Drosophila melanogaster: one gene and its partners. Changing the gene in region 3 together with the main gene of any one other region gives a genetic interaction. Each region holds a gene or a part of one and is shown on either strand. Other genes may lie near its edges.

Region 1 (4,764 bases), on a different chromosome or scaffold from region 3:
GACAAAGACAAAGCCAAAGCCAGCTTAAGTGTTTCGGCCCAGCTACCCAACCTCAAAGATCAAACTCAAACTCAAAACCCAAACCCATACCCATTCCTATTCCCATTCCCCCAACCATACTCAAACCCATACCCAAAGTCGTCTGCATACCAAAACCAAAACCCATCGGCAGCTGGAAGTCAAGTTGGAGCCAAACTCTTTGAGCATGTTGCGCCTGCTACAGTGGGTACTCCATGGAAGGACGACTTTCATGTTAAAGGTTTGATGATTTTGAAATATATTTAAGAAGTATTTCAAATAATCTCTCTCCAAGTTGCCAAGTATTTTCAATTGGTCATGGTTTACAAAACAAAATGGTTGAGTTAAAGTCTCAACAACATTGTTTAAAAAGTTAAGTTGTTATTATTGTTATTAAAACAATAATATTTCGAATATAAATATTTATAACATTTCAGCATAATTGGTTTAAAATGCTATAAAATAGTTTTAATATATTTATTTAAGAATGTTATATTTAATTACTGGTTTATTGTTTCAAAAGGCGAAATAAAACGCTCACGTTGTGACATATTAATTAAATCAAGTTCAATAAAAAAAAAGTGATTGATCGGATTGAATATATTCAATTACTGGTTGCCTAGTCGGTTTGGTTTTGAAATGAAAAGTAAATTCATTTAAAGCATTTAGCTGCAGCTGATGGAATGCGCACTGTATCCGCCCAGCGAGCAGTACTTGGCATATATCAAAAGCCAGGCAGCACACTTGTATCTCATTTGGCAAAAGTATCTGCGGATGTCGCGGGTTGGGGCGGGCACAAGAAAGTATCTGGCTTTTTAATAGGTTCAAATTGTGGCATGAGTAACGCAGCGCACAGAGCAACTTGACTAACAGGCGGCGTGACGTGACGCAAAGTATCTCGGCTATAGCGATTGTGGATGTGCAAGTCGAGTATCTGTGACTGTGCGCCTTTTGTATCTGTATCTTTGTATCTGCGTATCTGTGAGCTAGGCTGCCTGTTGAGCGGGTGAGCTGCGCCAAAAGTTCATGACGCTGGCTGAGCTTGATTTTCAGACCATTTTACATGGGGCAATTCCGATTGCGACTGGCTGGCAAACAAGCTGCCTTGTTTGCGTCTGTTTTTACGTTTTTTTTTTCTTCTGTTTTTCAGCTTCTCTGCTTTTCACCCGCTTTCTGTTTTCCTTTATTTCAGCTCTCTGTTTTTCCCCCTTTCTTTTGCCCATTTCGTTTGTGTTTTTGTTTTGTTTGCCGCTGCCCTGTGAGTGTGCGTTTGTTTGTGTGCCTGTTTGTTTGTTTGCCTTTTGTGTGCGCTGGGGGATTACGTAAGGGAATCCCCAACATTTTGCAGCGCGCGCGCCAACGCAACTGAATTAAAATGATAAGGGGACTGTGGGTGGTTGGGCGTGGGCGCAATGCAATGAAAAGTGACTACTGACGCTGTTGTTTCATGTTTTATGCATGCCCTCCCTCTCTTTGCTCTCGCCCCGTCCCTCTCTCTCTCTCTCTCTCTTGCGAGTGGAGCACTCATGGCACACAAATAATAATGCAAAAAAATATATATCTTATAGATACAGCCAGAGGTTTCGAGTGGGGGCGTGGCTGAATACTACATACATTCTTAATTACATATTTTTCCCTTTGAGCCGCCAAGAAAAAATCACTGCACTTGACGAGATTCTTTGAAGCTCTGAAGCAAGGACTTACTGTCTTGCCATATGGCAGCTGTGAAACTCGTCGTCCTTGAGCTGAAGCCCAATTTTTTTAAGACCGCTGGAGTTCTTTTAATAATCAACAAACTACTTGGAGTGAATTTGTTATCAAGAACAAAGCAGTCAAAGTTCGATCTTATAATAGAACCACTAAATATAAAGATTCCAAAGAAAAGTCAGCATAGAAATTGTGGATATTGGGTCCCTTTTCCTTGTAAACACTTTATGGAAACGTTTGCAAAATAGCTTAAAATCCTTGAGAAGAGGCAATTTCCCGGAATTTCGCTGGCATATTTTCGAACTCACGCTTGATTTGAATAATTAACAGGAAAATGTACTTACTGCCTCGACCGCTGCCCTTGCGTCGCGCCATTTTCCCTGCTTCAAAGTTGGTGTCCCGTTTTGGCGCTGTCCGCTGTCCGCTGTCCCGTTGTCCTTTTGCACAGAACAATACTGCTGGAAATTAGGATCCTTGCGCTTGACTGATGTATATTTAATCAGAGGCCGCCTACCCGCTGGCACGCCCACTTGCGACACTGGTTCTGGTCTGTTTGTATGGCACAACAGCAACAAAGCTTGTACGTGTGTCGACGTCCTTGACGCACACAATGACAAGCGTCCTTGTTTGTCTGAGCGTATGAGCGCGCGCGTGTGTGTGTGTTTGTGTGTGTAAGCGAGTGTATGGGTGTGTGTGTGTGTGGCCTGGTTCCCGGTTCGCTGGTATTTGCCAACTAGACAAATAGAGGAGCCATGATGTCCAAGTCCCTGGTATTATCCTGATATGCCGCTTGCCTGTCGACCTGGTGGAGATTGCAACCCGCTGGCTGGCATCGCTGCTATCCTGCCCAAGTCTCAGTATCCTTGGTTGCTGTAATTGTGCTATATAAATCCATGTAGGCGTATCCTCTGCTCGCTGTGTAAAAAAAACCTCAATTCGGAAATGTTCGGTTTGATATGCCGTTCCTTATTTTTGTTGTGGTAGGTTTTGTTTGATTTGTATTACTTTTGACAGACCCTGCGTATACGCAATATTCGCAACTAAATCGCGCGCGCCGCGAATTCTTTCAGTTTTATGTGCTGCGTGTGTGTATGTATGTACACTCCTTATCAACACTGTTTCATCCGAGGGCCTCACTTTATTTCATATATATTATATATCTCTTTCGAAATATGCGCTATATGGCTGTTGCGGAATCTATTAATAAAACGGACATGTTATTCACCATGCGTTGCGATTTGACTTGATTTGATTTCGTTGCTGGCTTTTTTGCGCATTTACCGAGAAGTGCGAGAAGCGCGCGAAAACGAGAGGCGTGCGTCGACGTCGGCGTTCACGGACAAACAGAGCCAGCGAGAATCCGTTAGGCCCCCAAAAGCCAAAGCCAAAGCCAAAAGCCCGAACGCCAAGAGCACACCCAAAGTGAGCTCTCTTTTGGCGCACAAATGAGAGAGCCAAAGAGCGACGTAAGTGGCTTTCAATTCGACCAGCCGTTTCGTTTCAATCGAAAATCGCCTTTCAACTTGTCTGTTTACCTTTTTTCTTTTCCCACTCACAGAGCAGCGAAGAGAGTTCGCTAAGAGAGTCGCCTTATCAGTATTGTGTGTGTGTGTGTGTGTCCAAAGCTTAAATGCCAATAGCAGGAGCTCCAGATGATAAGCGTTATTTACTTGGCTTACCTGCGCTGTGATAATACCTGGGTTGTCTGTTTTATCAGTTTGCTAATTTACATTTTTAAGATTATCCACACAATTGATAAAAAGGTAATACTTTTCTAAGCCTAAATGTATGCAATATCAAAAAACAACATGGTGCTTCAGTGGAAAAGCATTGATTTAGGCGATTTGATAAATTAATTATAAGGAGTTGCTAAAAATATAAACATGTCATTATAATATATTTTAATAATCATAAACTTGGTGGGACGAACACACAAACCTTATAAACTAGCTGCTGCAACTCGCAGCGAAAATAACGAAGATAAACATTTAATTCATGGTTTAAAAATTATTCTAAATTATAGATGAAGTTTGATTCTAAGATATGTACTCTGTTGAAACACATTTTAATTACTGCACATAGAATCGTATCCATTCCAATGATAGTAATGTTTCGACTTAATTTAATATTCATATGCATAAAAATAGCAAATTCGATGAATTAAATGAAGACGTTTAAATGAAGGCGTCCTATTCTTTGATACAGCCATTAATGTTTCCGATTCATTTAAGGCAGACACTTTGGGCCCAGTCGAAAGCTGTTCGAGCCGCAACGCCTCGTAACGCCTGGTGTCGAAAGGCTGAAATAATGCGGCTTCAAAGGAAATTAAGTGCTGGCGAAAATATGTACATATGTGAAGAAAAGAAGAACATATCGCAGAACATTGGCGATGGCGATGTCAAGTGGATGGGATTTTGGCTGACAGCTGTGAGAATTCCCAGCCAAAGTGACAAGTAAAAGGCGTGGCCTTGAGCCTCATTTGCCAGCCCCAAAACGCCAACGGCCGCCCTTCAATTTAAATTCATATGGGAAGATATACGATGTTTGGCCTAAACGACTTTCAATAAATGTGGTTTGTTTCTTTTAAGAATTTTCACAAATCATTGATATTTATTAGAGCCGCACGCGTGACCACCCTAATCACATCACTCATCCTTATGTTCAGAGTTAACCCCCCTGCACCCCCCCCCCCCTGTGTTATACTATGCTCCATCGTCAATGAAAACGAATATATGTACTATGTTCGAACAGCTGTTCTTTGTTTACAATTGGCGCAGGCGCCCAATTGGAAATTGTTCGTGTGCGTGTGTATGTTCGCCCGGCTAGAAGGCCTTCCAGTTCCAGTGCGAAAGCAGTTCGAAACTGGAAGCTGGAAGGAGGGGAAATTCGTGGTGCCGAACACTTTGGCGCCAAATGAAAAACGTCCGTCGGAATTTCACTTGCAGTCGGAAAATAACAGAGCGCGTGAAAGGATCACAGTGCGGATCAAACAGACCGGTCTGTTGAAAAGTCAGGGAAATCCAGTTGAAAAACGAAAGT
Region 2 (6,791 bases), on a different chromosome or scaffold from region 3:
CAGCGTAATGTGTTTCTTTGGTATGTTTTGGCACCCTGACAAGTTCGTTGTTTGAGTCTTTTGTTTGGCCGGCAGCTACGAAGCTGAGAAAAAGCCATTAGAGATCGAAAAGTAACCGAAACAGAAATAGAAACAGAAACAGTAGCCGAAGTGGTGGAAAGCCAAAGCTCATTAGCAGTTACCATTTTATCCAAACAGACGCATCATTATCATTAAGGGCAAACGGGAAAGCAGCAAAAGCAGCCACAGCAACAATAGCAACCACAGCAGCAGCATCAGAAACAAGTTGAAAACTTTAATTAACGCATTTTTACGCAACTGTCGGCAGCAGTTTAACCCTTTTCGTGGCCAAATGCTGAGCAAACACGACAACGGTAATAATTGAAAATCATGGCAATCAAAGCGGAAAGTGTGTAGGGGAATGGAACGGTGTGGAAGGGTGGAAGTTGAGCGGAAAATCAACAGCTGCCGACGGCAACAGCGGAATGTGTAAGAGGAAGATGGTCAAAGGGGGTGTGCGAGAGAGAGGCAGCAGCCATTGTTGTCATGCGTGAGAGAGCAGGGCAGAGTGAGCGAGAAGCGCACAGTGCGAGAGCGAGTGAGACAACTATCTATTCGAAGTTCGAAATTCAAAAGGGGAAATAGATTTGGCTCCGTTCCAGTTTCCAGTTTTTCCAACTTCGACTTTTAATGGCTGACCGCAGACTGGAAGGTGCGTTCGAACCGGTTAAGATCGAATCGAAACGGTTAAGACCACTCAACGGAATTTCAATTTATGCATCTGAGCTGTTCAAATATATTTATTAATTTATATTCGATTCAAGTCCATTTGATACTTATAAAAATGCGCATAAAAATTGAATAAATTTCGGCCCATTGATTGTGGAACAGGTTAACCACGAAATTTGCTCTAAATATGGATTATGGCTTATTGTTTGGGCGTTAGTTTGTTGGCGCGAATTGCTTATGTCACAATTGGCAACAGGAAATGTGGGAGTGTGAGTGGTGGCGAGATTACTCTCTAATTAAATCCTTTGCCCCATAAATCAGTAGCCCACATGGCAACGATCGCTTTTATTATGCAAAAATTAACACAACAAAATCTGCTAGCTATAAGGCAATTCATTAGCGATTTCGTTATTTGATTTCGGTTTTATTCACATCGAACAGATTCGTTGATTTATGAGCTATATATCAGTGGTTATATGTTCGGAATCCCACATCTATACACTATTTGCAGCACATGTTTCACATTTGTAGATCGTCGGTTGATTAGAGCCCCACAAAAAAGCGTTATTGTTAATGTCCAATGCCAAATGGCGTTCGTTTTTAACACCTTCTAAGGTTTATTTTGACAGTTAGCGATGGTTTTTCATTCGCTCGTCTGGCAAATCGATATTCGATGGGCAAATAAATAAATTAAATGTCAATTAAATATCAATCAATTTCGTCAGCTGTTTTTCAAGGCACATTTAACTGGTTAATTGAAGGCCTCAAAAATAAATTGTCATCGTGTATTTAGCGTATTTTTGTGAAAAATCGCAAATGATACTGGTGGTGGGAGTGGGGGTGATAAAAAGTTTCCCTTCATTTAAATTAAAACAATTAGCTTTGCGGTTTTTTTCCTCTCTTTCGATTCCCCCTCTACACATGGCCTAAAGGTGGTGTCGATAAAGTTGTAGGCTGTAGAAAACGCAGATTGAAACGTCGCGGCCGAAAACAAAATCAACAAAAACTAAATGCTTATGAAAAGTGTCTGTGGAAAGAGATGGCATGTGGCTCTCCCCCTCATGGAAAGGCAGCCATTTTCCTGGCCTACTCGCAGAGGGAGTGAACAGTGCCGCTATATGACCCCCACTCGGTAACGCCCCGTGAGAGAGGGAGAGCTTGCGCCTGCGCAGTTCGCTGGGGACACAGTTGTCAACCGGCTGACAGCTCCAGCATGCGCATAATAAAGTCATATTGCTGCCTAACAAGCCCCCCTCGCCAAATTGGCAAGAGAGAGTGAGAGCGAGAGGGAGCGAGCGAGAGAGCGCTCTGGCCAGCTAATAGGAGTGAGTGAGCCGGCGAAACCGGTTCGCATGGGGCAGGTGACAAGGCTAAGAGAGAGCGAAAATCGATCAGTGTAAGGCCGAAAAGACACATCTTCTACTCTCATCTCTTCATGTCACTGTCACCAACTGCTGTCACTCACTCACTCGCTCGCTCGCACACACTTCGCCAGCTACTTGTGGGATCTCGCCCTCTCGCTCCCGCACTCGGACCTCTCTTTCCACCGTGACAGTTCAATCGGCTCTCGCGTTAACTCTCCCCGACGTCGGCGCTGCGATTCCGAAGTAGTCAACTAATTCAGTCGTTGCGCTCGATGTGAACAGACGTGCGTGTCGGAACAACAGTTGCAAATCAAACACGAAAGCATAAGCCAAACAAAAAACACCAAACAGAGAAGAGAATCAGAAGATTCTGAGCAATCAGAAGAATCAGTGGCTCAGTGTCAAGTGACCCAGTGACAAGTGTCTTAAGCGAGTTGCGATTTAGCACCAAGTCGAAACCAATGGCCCTGGAGGATCGCTGCAGTCCACAGTCAGCGCCCAGCCCCATTACCCTACAAATGCAGCATCTTCACCACCAGCAACAGCAGCAGCAGCAACAGCAGCAGCAAATGCAGCACCTCCACCAGCTGCAGCAACTGCAGCAGTTGCACCAACAGCAACTGGCCGCCGGTGTCTTCCACCATCCGGCAATGGCCTTCGATGCCGCTGCAGCCGCCGCTGCTGCAGCTGCTGCTGCGGCCGCCCACGCTCATGCTGCTGCACTGCAGCAGCGCCTCAGTGGCAGTGGATCGCCCGCATCCTGCTCCACGCCCGCCTCGTCCACGCCGCTGACCATCAAGGAGGAGGAAAGCGACTCCGTGATCGGTGACATGAGTTTCCACAATCAGACGCACACCACCAACGAGGAGGAGGAGGCGGAGGAGGATGACGACATTGATGTGGATGTGGATGATACGTCGGCGGGCGGACGCCTGCCACCACCCGCCCACCAGCAGCAGTCGACGGCCAAGCCCTCGCTGGCCTTTTCCATCTCCAACATCCTGAGCGATCGTTTCGGAGATGTCCAGAAGCCGGGCAAGTCGATGGAGAACCAGGCCAGCATATTCCGCCCCTTCGAGGCGAGTCGTTCCCAGACTGCCACGCCCTCCGCCTTTACAAGAGTGGATCTGCTGGAGTTTAGCCGGCAACAGCAGGCTGCCGCCGCAGCCGCTACTGCGGCCATGATGCTGGAACGGGCCAACTTCCTTAACTGCTTCAATCCGGCTGCCTATCCCAGGATACACGAGGAAATCGTGCAGAGTCGGCTGCGCAGGAGTGCAGCCAATGCCGTCATCCCGCCGCCCATGAGCTCCAAGATGAGCGATGCCAATCCAGAGAAATCTGCTCTGGGATCCCTGTGCAAGGCGGTCTCGCAGATCGGACAACCTGCTGCCCCTACGATGACCCAACCTCCGCTGAGTAGCAGTGCCAGCAGCTTGGCCAGTCCGCCACCCGCCTCCAATGCCTCGACCATTAGCAGCACCTCTTCCGTGGCCACCAGCTCGAGCTCCTCCTCGTCGGGTTGCTCCTCGGCGGCCAGTTCCTTGAACTCCTCGCCCAGTAGCCGACTGGGAGCCAGTGGATCCGGAGTCAATGCCAGCAGTCCCCAGCCGCAGCCAATCCCGCCGCCATCCGCCGTTAGCCGAGATTCCGGAATGGAGTCCTCGGATGACACGCGTTCCGAGACGGGATCCACCACCACAGAGGGCGGCAAGAACGAGATGTGGCCCGCCTGGGTGTACTGCACCCGCTACAGCGATCGTCCCAGCTCAGGTTAGTATCTATGCGATTACCTAGCGTTTAAGTGGGTCAGAAAGAGGGTTCGTCGGGCACCATCTTCAGTGTTGTCAAAACAAGGAAGTCCCAAAGGTTCGTTAAAAAAAAAAAGATGTGAAAATGGTAAATGGTATATGGTTACATGGGGACCACCCTTGGGGAGCGTTATGTTGGCGGCAGCCTTTCAAGCAGCTCTGTTTTGTGTCATAAATCCGAAGGACACTGCCACAATTAGGCGACACGCGGACAATGGCAATGAGCCCGAATCTGACTCCCATTTCTATAACCATGCCCATTCCCATTCCCATTTCGTATCCGAATCCGAATCCGATTTTGGGCCTCACGCAGTGCTGCGCTGCTTTTGAAGAGCGACACTTTATGTGACAACATGTAGCGCAGAGCCAGCGCTTGTCTATCGGAACTGTTAGATCCTCAGGTCGAAGGTCACCGCTCACGCACACACGCCACGCAGAAGCCGAGACCCTAAAACGCGCTGACGATTGACAGGGGAAAAGTAGGTGCGGGGGAGATATGATGGCGGGGGAAGCCCCTTCGAAAGGAGAAGAGTTTTCCATTGACAAGCGGAGATTTTCCTTGCAGCTCTTCTTAGATCGTGTGTTAATTGACGAGTTAAGTGCTTTTTTATGGTCGGCAATGGTTTTTTAATTTGGTGTCGATGCAATCGATGGCAGCCCATAAGCGAGGCGTTGATGGCCCCACTCCGCGGCTAGGAATTAATCAAACGATCTCCACTTACTGGCGGTCAATTAAATTATAATTTACAATGTGTGGAAATCTAATAAGCACTACGGATTGCTGCGGTGCCGCGTTGCCAATTAGCCGGTGACTTGGACTTAGTCGCTAATTAGAGAGTTGGCTAGCTGGCAAATCATTTGCCTAAAATATGCCGTAGACCTTTGGGTTCGTTAACTCGCCGGAGTTCTACTCTTCTCTTGCGCTGACAGCTGACAAATTGAACACTTCCCCGCCAGCACGCGAAAGGGAGCTCCAGCTCCGGCCGAGGAATTCCGCCCAGACATATGCTAATTGAATCATTAATATTATTAATAGTATGTGGCGCATTTATGCAAATAGAACTAACGTATTTCTCGTGTTTTTGTTTATTCCAGGACCCCGCTACCGCCGCCCCAAACAGCCAAAGGACAAGACCAACGACGAGAAGCGTCCACGCACCGCGTTCTCCAGCGAGCAGTTGGCCCGCCTTAAGGTGAGATTCAGTTCTTTTTTCCATATATGGTTATATGGTTATACCAATATCCATCCATATCCATATCCAATTGCCCTACGCTTGTTGTGTCATATTTGCACCAAAATATTGACACCGCCCGCTGCTAATGCATCCTGGCAATGTGGTGTCCCGTCCGTACTTAACCAATCAGCCACGCTCGGCCGAAACCGCAAATAATTGATTTTCCCTACCTGACTATACAACATGGATATCCTTGCCATCCGAAACTCATCCAGCATTCCATTTCTTCCACTTACAGCGGGAGTTCAACGAGAATCGCTATCTGACCGAGCGGAGACGCCAGCAGCTGAGCAGCGAGTTGGGCCTGAACGAGGCGCAGATCAAGATCTGGTTCCAGAACAAGCGGGCCAAGATCAAGAAGTCGACGGGCTCCAAAAATCCGCTGGCACTGCAGCTGATGGCCCAGGGATTGTACAACCACACCACCGTGCCGCTGACCAAGGAGGAGGAGGAGCTCGAGATGCGCATGAACGGGCAGATCCCCTAAGCGCTGACCAATGGTTACCCATAAGGGGTTACTCCTTCTGACGGGGGCGTGCAATATTCGAGGGCGTACAAATGGTTTTCATGTGATATAATTGTAGCGTACATATGTTTTTGTATATATCTCTAAAAATATATATATATATACGTATAATCCTAACCTAGAGTAAGACCCATCCGTAGCGAATTCGAGCTGTAAGTTGTTGGCGTATTTATTTAACCACCCCTGGATAGCCGAAAGTATTATCGTAATCACCCGACACAAAGCCTATCGCTATCGCCGCACTTCAAAAGCTTCGACCTTCAGACGTTTATTCCTACACAAAACACTATCTATAGTTATTACTCCCTATAAATTACGCGCTTGCAACCGCTCTGTAAATTAAGTAACTTAACAGTTCCCTAGCTTAATTCCTAGTTTACACACTTAAGGATTGCTATGAAAGAGTATTTTAGTTTCTAAGCGAAATGTTAACGAGCAACTAATAGCTGGCAAATGCACCTAAGAAAATAACAACGAAATGTTTGTGCTAAAGCAAGTTCATGAAAAGAAAATTAAAAACAAAATAAAAGAATTATGGAAAAAAATTAAAATGCAATTGGTTTCCTCTGGGAATTGGAAGTCTGCTACATTAAAGGAAAATATGCCACCCATATATCGGAGGACATGCGGTCTAATCGGTGGCCTTATTTGTACTTTGTGTAGGGCGCCATTATCTTCTCTACGCTTTTTCATCTGTCACATCAAAGGCTATAGAACATTAAATCACGAACACTTGTCGTCGGGCGAGGGTGCCGCTAATTGCACAATCACATTCCGAACCAAAATCGGAGGCCGTCGACGAGTAACGGCAGCTCTTGCTCTTCGATTCCATTCCGTTTAATTAAAGCCAAATCCGCGCGTAGTATAAACAAATATCTGTGACGAGACAGAAGCCCAACAAACAGAAAGAAAAAAAAAAATGCAAAACTAAAGCGGCAGGGAGCAGTCATCAAATGATTTATTGGCACAGATCTCGCGGCGAGCGGCGTTAATTTGCTGAAAATAAATGCAAACGCGAAATGCAATGCAAAATTGTGGGAGGGGGCGGGATGAGCAGCTGACATTTACTGGCAAGCGTTGATGTGCACATACAATACACACACACACATGCACGGCTGTATGAAGC
Region 3 (7,893 bases):
CCCGCTCTTCGTACTCTACGTTTTCGTCTAATTCCTTGAAATCTGGTGCAAAGGCAGACCAGTTTTCCACTTGATTTTGGGCCCAAATGGATACCAGTCCGGAGCTAATGCTGGCAATAATAGGCCGCACAGGATGCCACACCACGTCCAAGAGCAGCTCACCCTTGGTGCCATGCAGGATCTTCACCAGGTTTCCAATAGACTTTTCCCATATGTAAAGAGCATGCTGGCGAGCACTGCCAGCGCAAATGTACTCCCCATCACCGGAGAAGCAGCACTTTTTCCAGGTGGTTCTAGATGGAATTGATATTGGTCAATCAAATGGTTATCAAGGGTTTGTTTCATAACATACTTATTGACCAAGTCCTGTAGCTTTTGTATAGGTTCCGGTTCGCCGTCTTTGCCTAGAGTGATTATTTCTTTTGAGTCGTAAACACGAATAACTCGATCTGAGGTGTTGATTAGAAATGCGCTGAAAGATAAATTTGTTACGTTATGAAATCCCGATTACTTATTAGTACCCACTCTCCACGCCTCGCAAACTCGATGCTTTTTACAGCCGTTGCACTTGAGGTGCCTACAATAATGCGAAAACTGGCGACCACCTCAAAGGTTTCAACATCCAGTACGAGTATTTTTCCCTTGGCGTTGCCTGTGTAGATGTGTTTGCCTCTGCGATCGAAAGAAGCCACGATGTTCAAGTCGCCCTGGTGAGAAACAAGGATTTCAATTAACAATCAAGCTGCGAAAAAGCAATGTGCAAACTCACATCGGAATCCAAGGGCAGGCAGCGGTGAGTTCCGCCGACCTCTACAAGAACGGCGGCATATCGCATGGGGCACACCAAAAGTCGGTTGTCATTTCGGGGATCGAACTGTACTTTCAGCACAGGCGATGGAAACCTATACTTGTGTTCCAGTTCGCCGGTTAGCACATCCCAAATGCACACATTGTTGTCCGTGGAAGCTGAAAGTAACTGGAGTGGATTGGAAAATGTAGATGATCAGGTGTACGGCGAGCGAGGGCCTACCTTGTGACCATTCCTGGTCCAACTGAGACTGCAAACGGGATGCACATGGGCCGAAATAATCTTGGCAATGCCCCTCGTCAGAAAATCCCAGATTACAATGCGGCCATCATTGCATCCCACGGCCAAAAGGGTTCCGTATTTGTTAAAGGCACACGTCACGGCCAACGAAATGCAATCCAGCGAGCCGTCGAACTCCTCTGGGTAGTTTTGTCCGAAAGATTCTTAATAAAGCTGGAGTTATTTACTACATAAGCATAAAAAATGGGCGGCAATCTCACCTAGTAGCTCCAAATTCATTTTTGTTTACTATCTTCTTCTTTTAAAATGGCAACTGACACTCACACCGAACGGCAATAACATATTATGTTATAAATGATAAGCATAACAGAAGACGAGTTTTTCGATAGTTAAGGTTATATTCTGTACAACTACTGAACATCAATTATTATATTATAATACGAATTTAAAAATCTACGTATCTACGTTGGTGTTTTTTGTGGTTTTATTAATAGAATAAGTTTAGTTAATTTTAGAGGTGAAATTAAATATTGAAATAGTTAAACATATAAAATAGATAAATTTGGTGAAGCGTAAGTAAATTTTAAACTGCATTAGTTATATCTTAATTCAAGTTCCCCACTAATTTATGAGCGTTAGATGCGATAGTGTTATGTCTGGCGCAAGCGATTGTCTCGACGTTTCTTCGATATTTTAAGATATCGATAATGTCATCGGAGATTTGCCACCCCTATTTTTTGAGCTCTGTGCACGTTGTATGAGAAAAATTTATGCAGATGTATTCGCCAATTGTAACCAAGTCCGGATTGTGAAATTGCACGCAGACAGCGAGCATCATAATAAGCGCTCTAATTGGAGAAGGCAGAAGTTTCGAATTAAGCCATTTCGGAGACGTTTCGTCCGTGGCACGCGATTGTGTCAACGTCACCTTTGGAGCACTCGCCCTCTCTCGCTCGCTCCCGCTTTCGTTGCCAATTTTTTGCTTGCCCTCTCTCGGTCACTCCCTTCGAAAGCTTAACGGTTAGAGTGTAATAATGAAATAACCCAGTTTCGAATTTCGTTCACAACAAAAGTGCGGGCCTTTCATGCCAAAATAACATTTGGTTTCGAATTGTTTTTCAAATTCGAATCGAGGTTTTCCAGCTTTCCAGTTTGACAGCGAGAGAACGAGAGAGAGCGAGGGCGAATTACGGTGTTCGCGCTCTGCTTGTGCTTTCCACTCCACTCCCCTTCTTAACTTCCCCCCTCCCAGCCTATTTACTCTGTGTGCATGTGTAAATGAATACTTTAAAACGTTTTTAATCGTTGCAGTGTATTCATCGCCAGCCACGTTAAAAGGAAGAACGTGTATGTGAATACGACCATCAGAGGATCTTAGCGAAGGATTCAGGAGCCCAAATTCTTAATCCCCATCCCACACACACACATATACTCGCACGTAGGCACGCTCTCTGTGAGAGGAAGGGTAAATAAAAGAAGCAACGAGCAAAATGTCTGGCGAGGAAACGTCTGCCGATCGCAATGTCGAGATCTGGAAAATCAAGAAGCTCATCAAGAGCCTGGAAATGGCCCGCGGGTGAGTCTTATCAATGATATACATGTCCTTTAACGTCCCCCCCAACGACTGTTTTGCGTACGTGTGTGGGGTATACACAATGCATGGCACGAAAACAACAACACTGGGGTGGAAGTGGGCGTACTGGACGTGGGTGTGGGTGGGGACTTGAGGGAGCGGCGAGTACAACCACCTTTCCTTGTTGTCGCCGTGTGAATCTCCTTTGCATTGTTTCCAATCTTGGCAAGATCCCCCGCCTCACTCTATCTCTCTTTTTTGCATACGAGCAACACGTTTTTGTCGAGTTTTTATCAGTTCAAACTAGACTGATTGAGAGACGGAGAGAGAGAGAGAGAGAGAGGAGTGAGTGAGTGAGTGAGTAATCGCCTCGTGGCTGTTGTGCGTATGCGTGCATGTGTGTGTGTGTTTTTCCCCCAAAATGGGCCAAGCTTTGTGGACCCCTCGCTCTCACTCATCCTGCCTCGCTCACTCCCTTGACCCGGTCCTTACCGCTTCACACCGCTTTAGAGTGGGTAACAAGGTCAGCAAATCGAGTGACCCCCACAGGAGCATATCTGCTATGTATATACATATATATGTATATTGTTGTCAATATGCTCCACAATTGGAGCTAACATTACACCTCTTCCAATTGGAGTTGGCCACTGTTGCCAATTGGGATTCGCTTTGACAGATATCTTCCTATTGGTTTTCAGCCATATGCGAAATATATACACACATATGTATTTGTTTTTCTTTTTTTAAGTTCTGTGCTATTTTTTGTTGTATTTTGCATTCCAACATTTTGTACAAATTACGATTGGCACTCCTCTGTATTATAACGAACGAGAAAATGATTTGCATCAGAGAAACAAACGTTTGGAAGTTACAGAAACGTATTTGTTTCAATAAATTAATCAAAGTTTAAATTTAGTCCAATAACCGAATGTCAAGTTTAAAAGACATATGCCACGAAATTTCACGGCTAATTAAATAACTTTAAAGTAGGTTGCTATTATGTGCATCTGACGCGCAAATATACGATTGAATAGCACTGTTGCTATGGGAGAAAGAGCCATTTCCGCGACTTATGTTCTCCCTTGTTTGGGTTTCTTGCAGCAATGGAACCAGCATGATTTCTTTGATTATTCCGCCAAAGGATCAAATCTCGCGCGTCAGCAAGATGTTGGCCGATGAGTTTGGAACGGCGTCGAACATCAAGTCGCGTGTAAATCGGTTGTCCGTCCTCGGTGCCATTACGTCGGTACAGCACAGACTCAAATTATACACCAAAGGTAAGCTGAGCTAAGAAATTGTTCATAAACAATCGAACAAACGAACTCTAAACCGTATCACCAACCGCTTCAATTCAGTGCCTCCCAACGGTTTGGTCATCTACTGCGGCACAATAGTCACAGAGGAGGGCAAGGAGAAGAAGGTGAACATAGACTTTGAGCCATTCAAGCCCATAAACACGTCGCTCTACCTCTGCGACAACAAGTTCCACACGGAGGCCCTCACTGCCCTGCTCGCCGACGACAACAAATTTGGATTCATCGTGATGGATGGTAACGGAGCGCTATTCGGTACCCTTCAGGGCAACACGCGCGAGGTGCTCCACAAGTTCACCGTCGATCTGCCGAAGAAGCACGGTCGTGGTGGTCAGTCCGCCCTTCGTTTCGCCCGTCTGCGTATGGAGAAGCGCCACAACTACGTGCGGAAGGTCGCCGAGGTGGCCACCCAGCTCTTCATCACGAACGACAAGCCCAACATTGCCGGACTCATCCTGGCTGGTAGTGCGGATTTCAAGACTGAGCTTAGTCAGTCTGATATGTTCGATCCTGTAAGTGGGAGTTAACCTATTTCCATCGATGCCATATTAAGCCTTACACTTGAATCTTTTTTCAGCGTTTGCAATCAAAAGTCATCAAGCTGGTGGACGTGTCGTATGGTGGGGAAAACGGTTTTAACCAGGCCATTGAACTGGCGGCCGAATCATTGCAGAACGTTAAATTCATACAGGAGAAGAAACTCATTGGTCGCTACTTTGATGAAATTTCTCAGGTGAGTTGCCGGATACGAGTTCTGAGGCATTTCGAAATTAAAAACCACATCCGTATGCTTTCTATATTTAAAAGGATACTGGCAAATACTGTTTTGGAGTGGAGGACACTTTGCGGGCACTGGAACTTGGCTCTGTAGAGACTCTCATTTGTTGGGAGAACCTGGATATTCAACGTTATGTTCTCAAGAATCATGCCAACTCGACGTCAACGACAGTATTACATTTGACGCCCGAGCAGGAAAAGGACAAGTCGCACTTCACTGACAAGGAGGTGAGAGCTAAACTGAGTAATGATACTAATCCGCACGCTAACTGGGAATTCAATCGTATAGAGCGGGGTAGAAATGGAGCTGATTGAGTCTCAGCCGCTGCTGGAATGGCTGGCAAACAACTACAAAATGTTCGGCGCCACACTGGAGATTATCACGGATAAGTCCCAGGAAGGAAGTCAGTTCGTGCGAGGTTTCGGTGGAATCGGCGGTAAGTTTGAGCGGCCAAACAGCACGGCTGGCTAGTTGTAGATTGGTTATGTACTAAACAAATGCTGCAACTATATCCATTCCTCTTCCCTCATGCTGCTTTCACACGGTCGTCAACGCTATAATGTAAATGTTAATTTGCAAACTGGTACCTCAATTCGATATGTAGGCATTTTGCGCTATAAAGTAGATTTCCAATCCCTACAGGCCGATGAGCCGCTGGAGGATGTCGATCTCGATGACTATTAAGCCTGTTAAGGGTGGGCTGCGAATGGGTCTCGATTATGCGTTACATACATAATAAACCAGTACTTTTTGGGAAACCTCGTAAAGCAAAACGTTCAAATTGATTAGGAACCAATTTACTTGCCACATAGTTTTACCTATGTTCAGCGTAGCCGTTCAATATTTATCACCAATAGGGTCCCTCTCATCAGTCGGATGGTGCATTCCCTTGTCGATCAGATCAGCGTGCATCTAGATATGTACCTATACGTTTTACCAAATTTTTTAATTAGTCGTGCACCAGGCGGAATCGCGTACTTTTAAGCAGCATATTAAATTCGTATTTCGTACTCGTAATTCGTAATTTGTATTTCAATGGTCATGTAAAAGCGATGCGATAGATATTAGCGCATTCTCCGTTCATCTGGTTCGATTTCGACTGCGGTATTAGGAGCAAAAGATCTTCGGTTAACTGCCACATGCCACTTTCGAACGTATCTGCATTTCCCCTATTCAAATTATAGCCGAGTGTTATAAGAAAGTATACAAATCTAATCCATAAAATTGTAATAAAAATTAAACCAGAATAAAAACACCACACAATGAGGATGGGGTATCCGTTTATATTCAGTCGCGAAGTACAACAAATATTTTATTTAGTGTATGAAAAGTTAAATGTGGATACAAAGGAGGTGAGAATCTGAGTTTCGGTTGAACTATCCTGTGTGTTGATCCTTTTGTTTTTTCCTCTTCATTTATTTTTCAATTTTCAATCAGCTTCTGTTCTTCTATTTTTTTTTTTTTTTTGTTTCTTATTTTAATTTAATTCAATTGCTGGGTGTGCCTCTGCAGGTATCTTACGCTACAAGGTGGATTTCCAGAGTATGCAGCTCGATGAATTGGACAATGATGGCTTCGATCTAGATGATTACTAGGAAATGTATCTGTAGAAATGAATTTGCCACTACGTTCGACCGCAAACTGAACTGCAACTACAACTATATGAATCCAGGAAATCAAATAGAATATTTAAATAATATGAGAAAACACAAACCTTCTTCCATTTTTACGTTGTTGGCGAAAAAAGTAAAATTTTAAATAATGCATATAGATACAAACGATAAAATGTTAAATCGAGGAAAACATATTAAAATGCAACCGTTTTACGTGAACAAATTTGCAATTTGAATATATTTTCGAGGGACTAGAGCTCTTGTTATATAATTAATTGTTCCTCTATAAATCTAAATCTAAATCTACATTGACAATACGCCACGTTTCCTAAAGTTTTTGGGTACAAGGAGAATTGTATCTGTGAGTTTTAATCGTTCTATTATAGCTTGAAAACGAAATTTGCACCGAAAGCTGATAAAATTCCGACTCTGCTATCTGCTGGATAAGTAAAATGCTGGTAGCCACTTGGAGTACTACCAGTACAGCAATGAAAGTAAAGTGAAATGGGCATTTCATTTTCTACTTTCTATTTGCAGGCACACTGGAAACAGTTTACTGCGAGATTCCCACTTCATTAGTTGGCAATGCACGTGGACGACAGCAAAAAGCACTCGTAGTACTTGTTTCGCCCTTGATTTGCATCTAAGAATCGCTCAGATACATCTGGTGAGCTGAAACTCGTTTCTGAGCCGCAGTGTCGTGCAGGTATCCGTACTCGTTTGAATATTTGTAAGTAATCATTGCAGCGAGACTTCCAAAAAGTAAGCTCAGCTAAGTTCTGCGGTGTTGGGCATCCAATTAGTTGACCAAGTTTTCTGGTGGCATGCACATGAAACTTGTTTAATCGATAGGGTAAATATGCAAATTTCGATTGAATTTGACGATAATGCGTCGAGATGAAAAGAAAACGAATTGTGCAGGATTTTGGTTACGAGATAAGCCGAATCAGCTAATAAGGCACGTGCTTAATTGATATATATTGTATGTTTAAGTAACCTAAATATGCACGACTTTAATATCACTTTTATTTCGCTTTCGTAATAAAACGAGGTTCACTCTAAAGAGCACAAGCGTGGAGGTGTATGTGTGTTCTTACAGCCCCGATCATTTGTATTTCCATTTGAGTGCGAGCGAAGACGAGGGTTTACAACTTGATGAGAATTTGATCAAGATAACATTAAAACACAATCTGCTGCAGTCGGACGGGGCACTTCTGATTGAATCGTCGACGGAAGAGGTTCGGATCTCGAAAGCCAAAAATAATCAGCCTTTTACTGGCCAATTGAGATACGGAAACTTCTACCGACCGAGTGTAGTATGGCTGAATCAGTGGATGGAGCAGAGACTGTTGACCAGATTCGCGATGGCCTCATGGACGACTGGAAGATCCTGGAGAACGTATTCCACCTTCTCCGGAAGGAGGATACCTTCTGCGTGGATCCCCAGAAATGGGACAAGCAGAAGATAGTCCCCTTTTTGCAGCCAGACAAACTTAAGGTGAGTGGAGCAAGTGATAGACGATTCGGCGTCTGCCGATGTGGAGATAACCAGAGATAACAGAGAACTG

The links.
Region 1: of eRF1 (region 3) and shn, changing one suppresses a phenotype caused by changing the other (phenotypic suppression), as found in Drosophila melanogaster (one study listed by BioGRID).
Region 2: of eRF1 (region 3) and en, changing one suppresses a phenotype caused by changing the other (phenotypic suppression), as found in Drosophila melanogaster (one study listed by BioGRID).

Annotation. Positions count from the first base shown.
Region 1 is NT_033778.4:11,172,111-11,176,874, reverse strand, and holds the start of shn (schnurri), read right to left. Parts: upstream 3,073-4,764; 5' UTR 2,101-3,072; coding exon 2,070-2,100; intron 1-2,069.
Region 2 is NT_033778.4:11,523,434-11,530,224, reverse strand, and holds en (engrailed), read left to right. Parts: upstream 1-2,014; 5' UTR 2,015-2,554; coding exon 2,555-3,866; intron 3,867-4,999; coding exon 5,000-5,097; intron 5,098-5,377; coding exon 5,378-5,626; 3' UTR 5,627-6,219; downstream 6,220-6,791. UniProt on the Drosophila melanogaster protein: This protein specifies the body segmentation pattern. It is required for the development of the central nervous system. Transcriptional regulator that represses activated promoters. Wg signaling operates by inactivating the SGG repression of EN autoactivation.
Region 3 is NT_037436.4:20,346,583-20,354,475, forward strand, and holds eRF1 (eukaryotic translation release factor 1), read left to right. Parts: upstream 1-1,772; 5' UTR 1,773-1,803; exon of another isoform or gene 1,804-2,359; 5' UTR 2,360-2,538; coding exon 2,539-2,624; intron 2,625-3,722; coding exon 3,723-3,898; intron 3,899-3,976; coding exon 3,977-4,446; intron 4,447-4,511; coding exon 4,512-4,667; intron 4,668-4,741; coding exon 4,742-4,939; intron 4,940-5,000; coding exon 5,001-5,148; intron 5,149-5,316; coding exon of another isoform or gene 5,317-5,396; exon of another isoform or gene 5,397-5,678; intron 5,679-6,224; coding exon of another isoform or gene 6,225-6,307; exon of another isoform or gene 6,308-6,545; intron 6,546-6,862; coding exon 6,863-6,972; 3' UTR 6,973-7,291; downstream 7,292-7,893. Other genes in the region: Rbbp5 (retinoblastoma binding protein 5), read right to left, coding at 1-293, 353-472, 526-707, 770-976, 1,031-1,251, 1,309-1,327; CG5618 (uncharacterized protein), read left to right, coding at 7,644-7,823.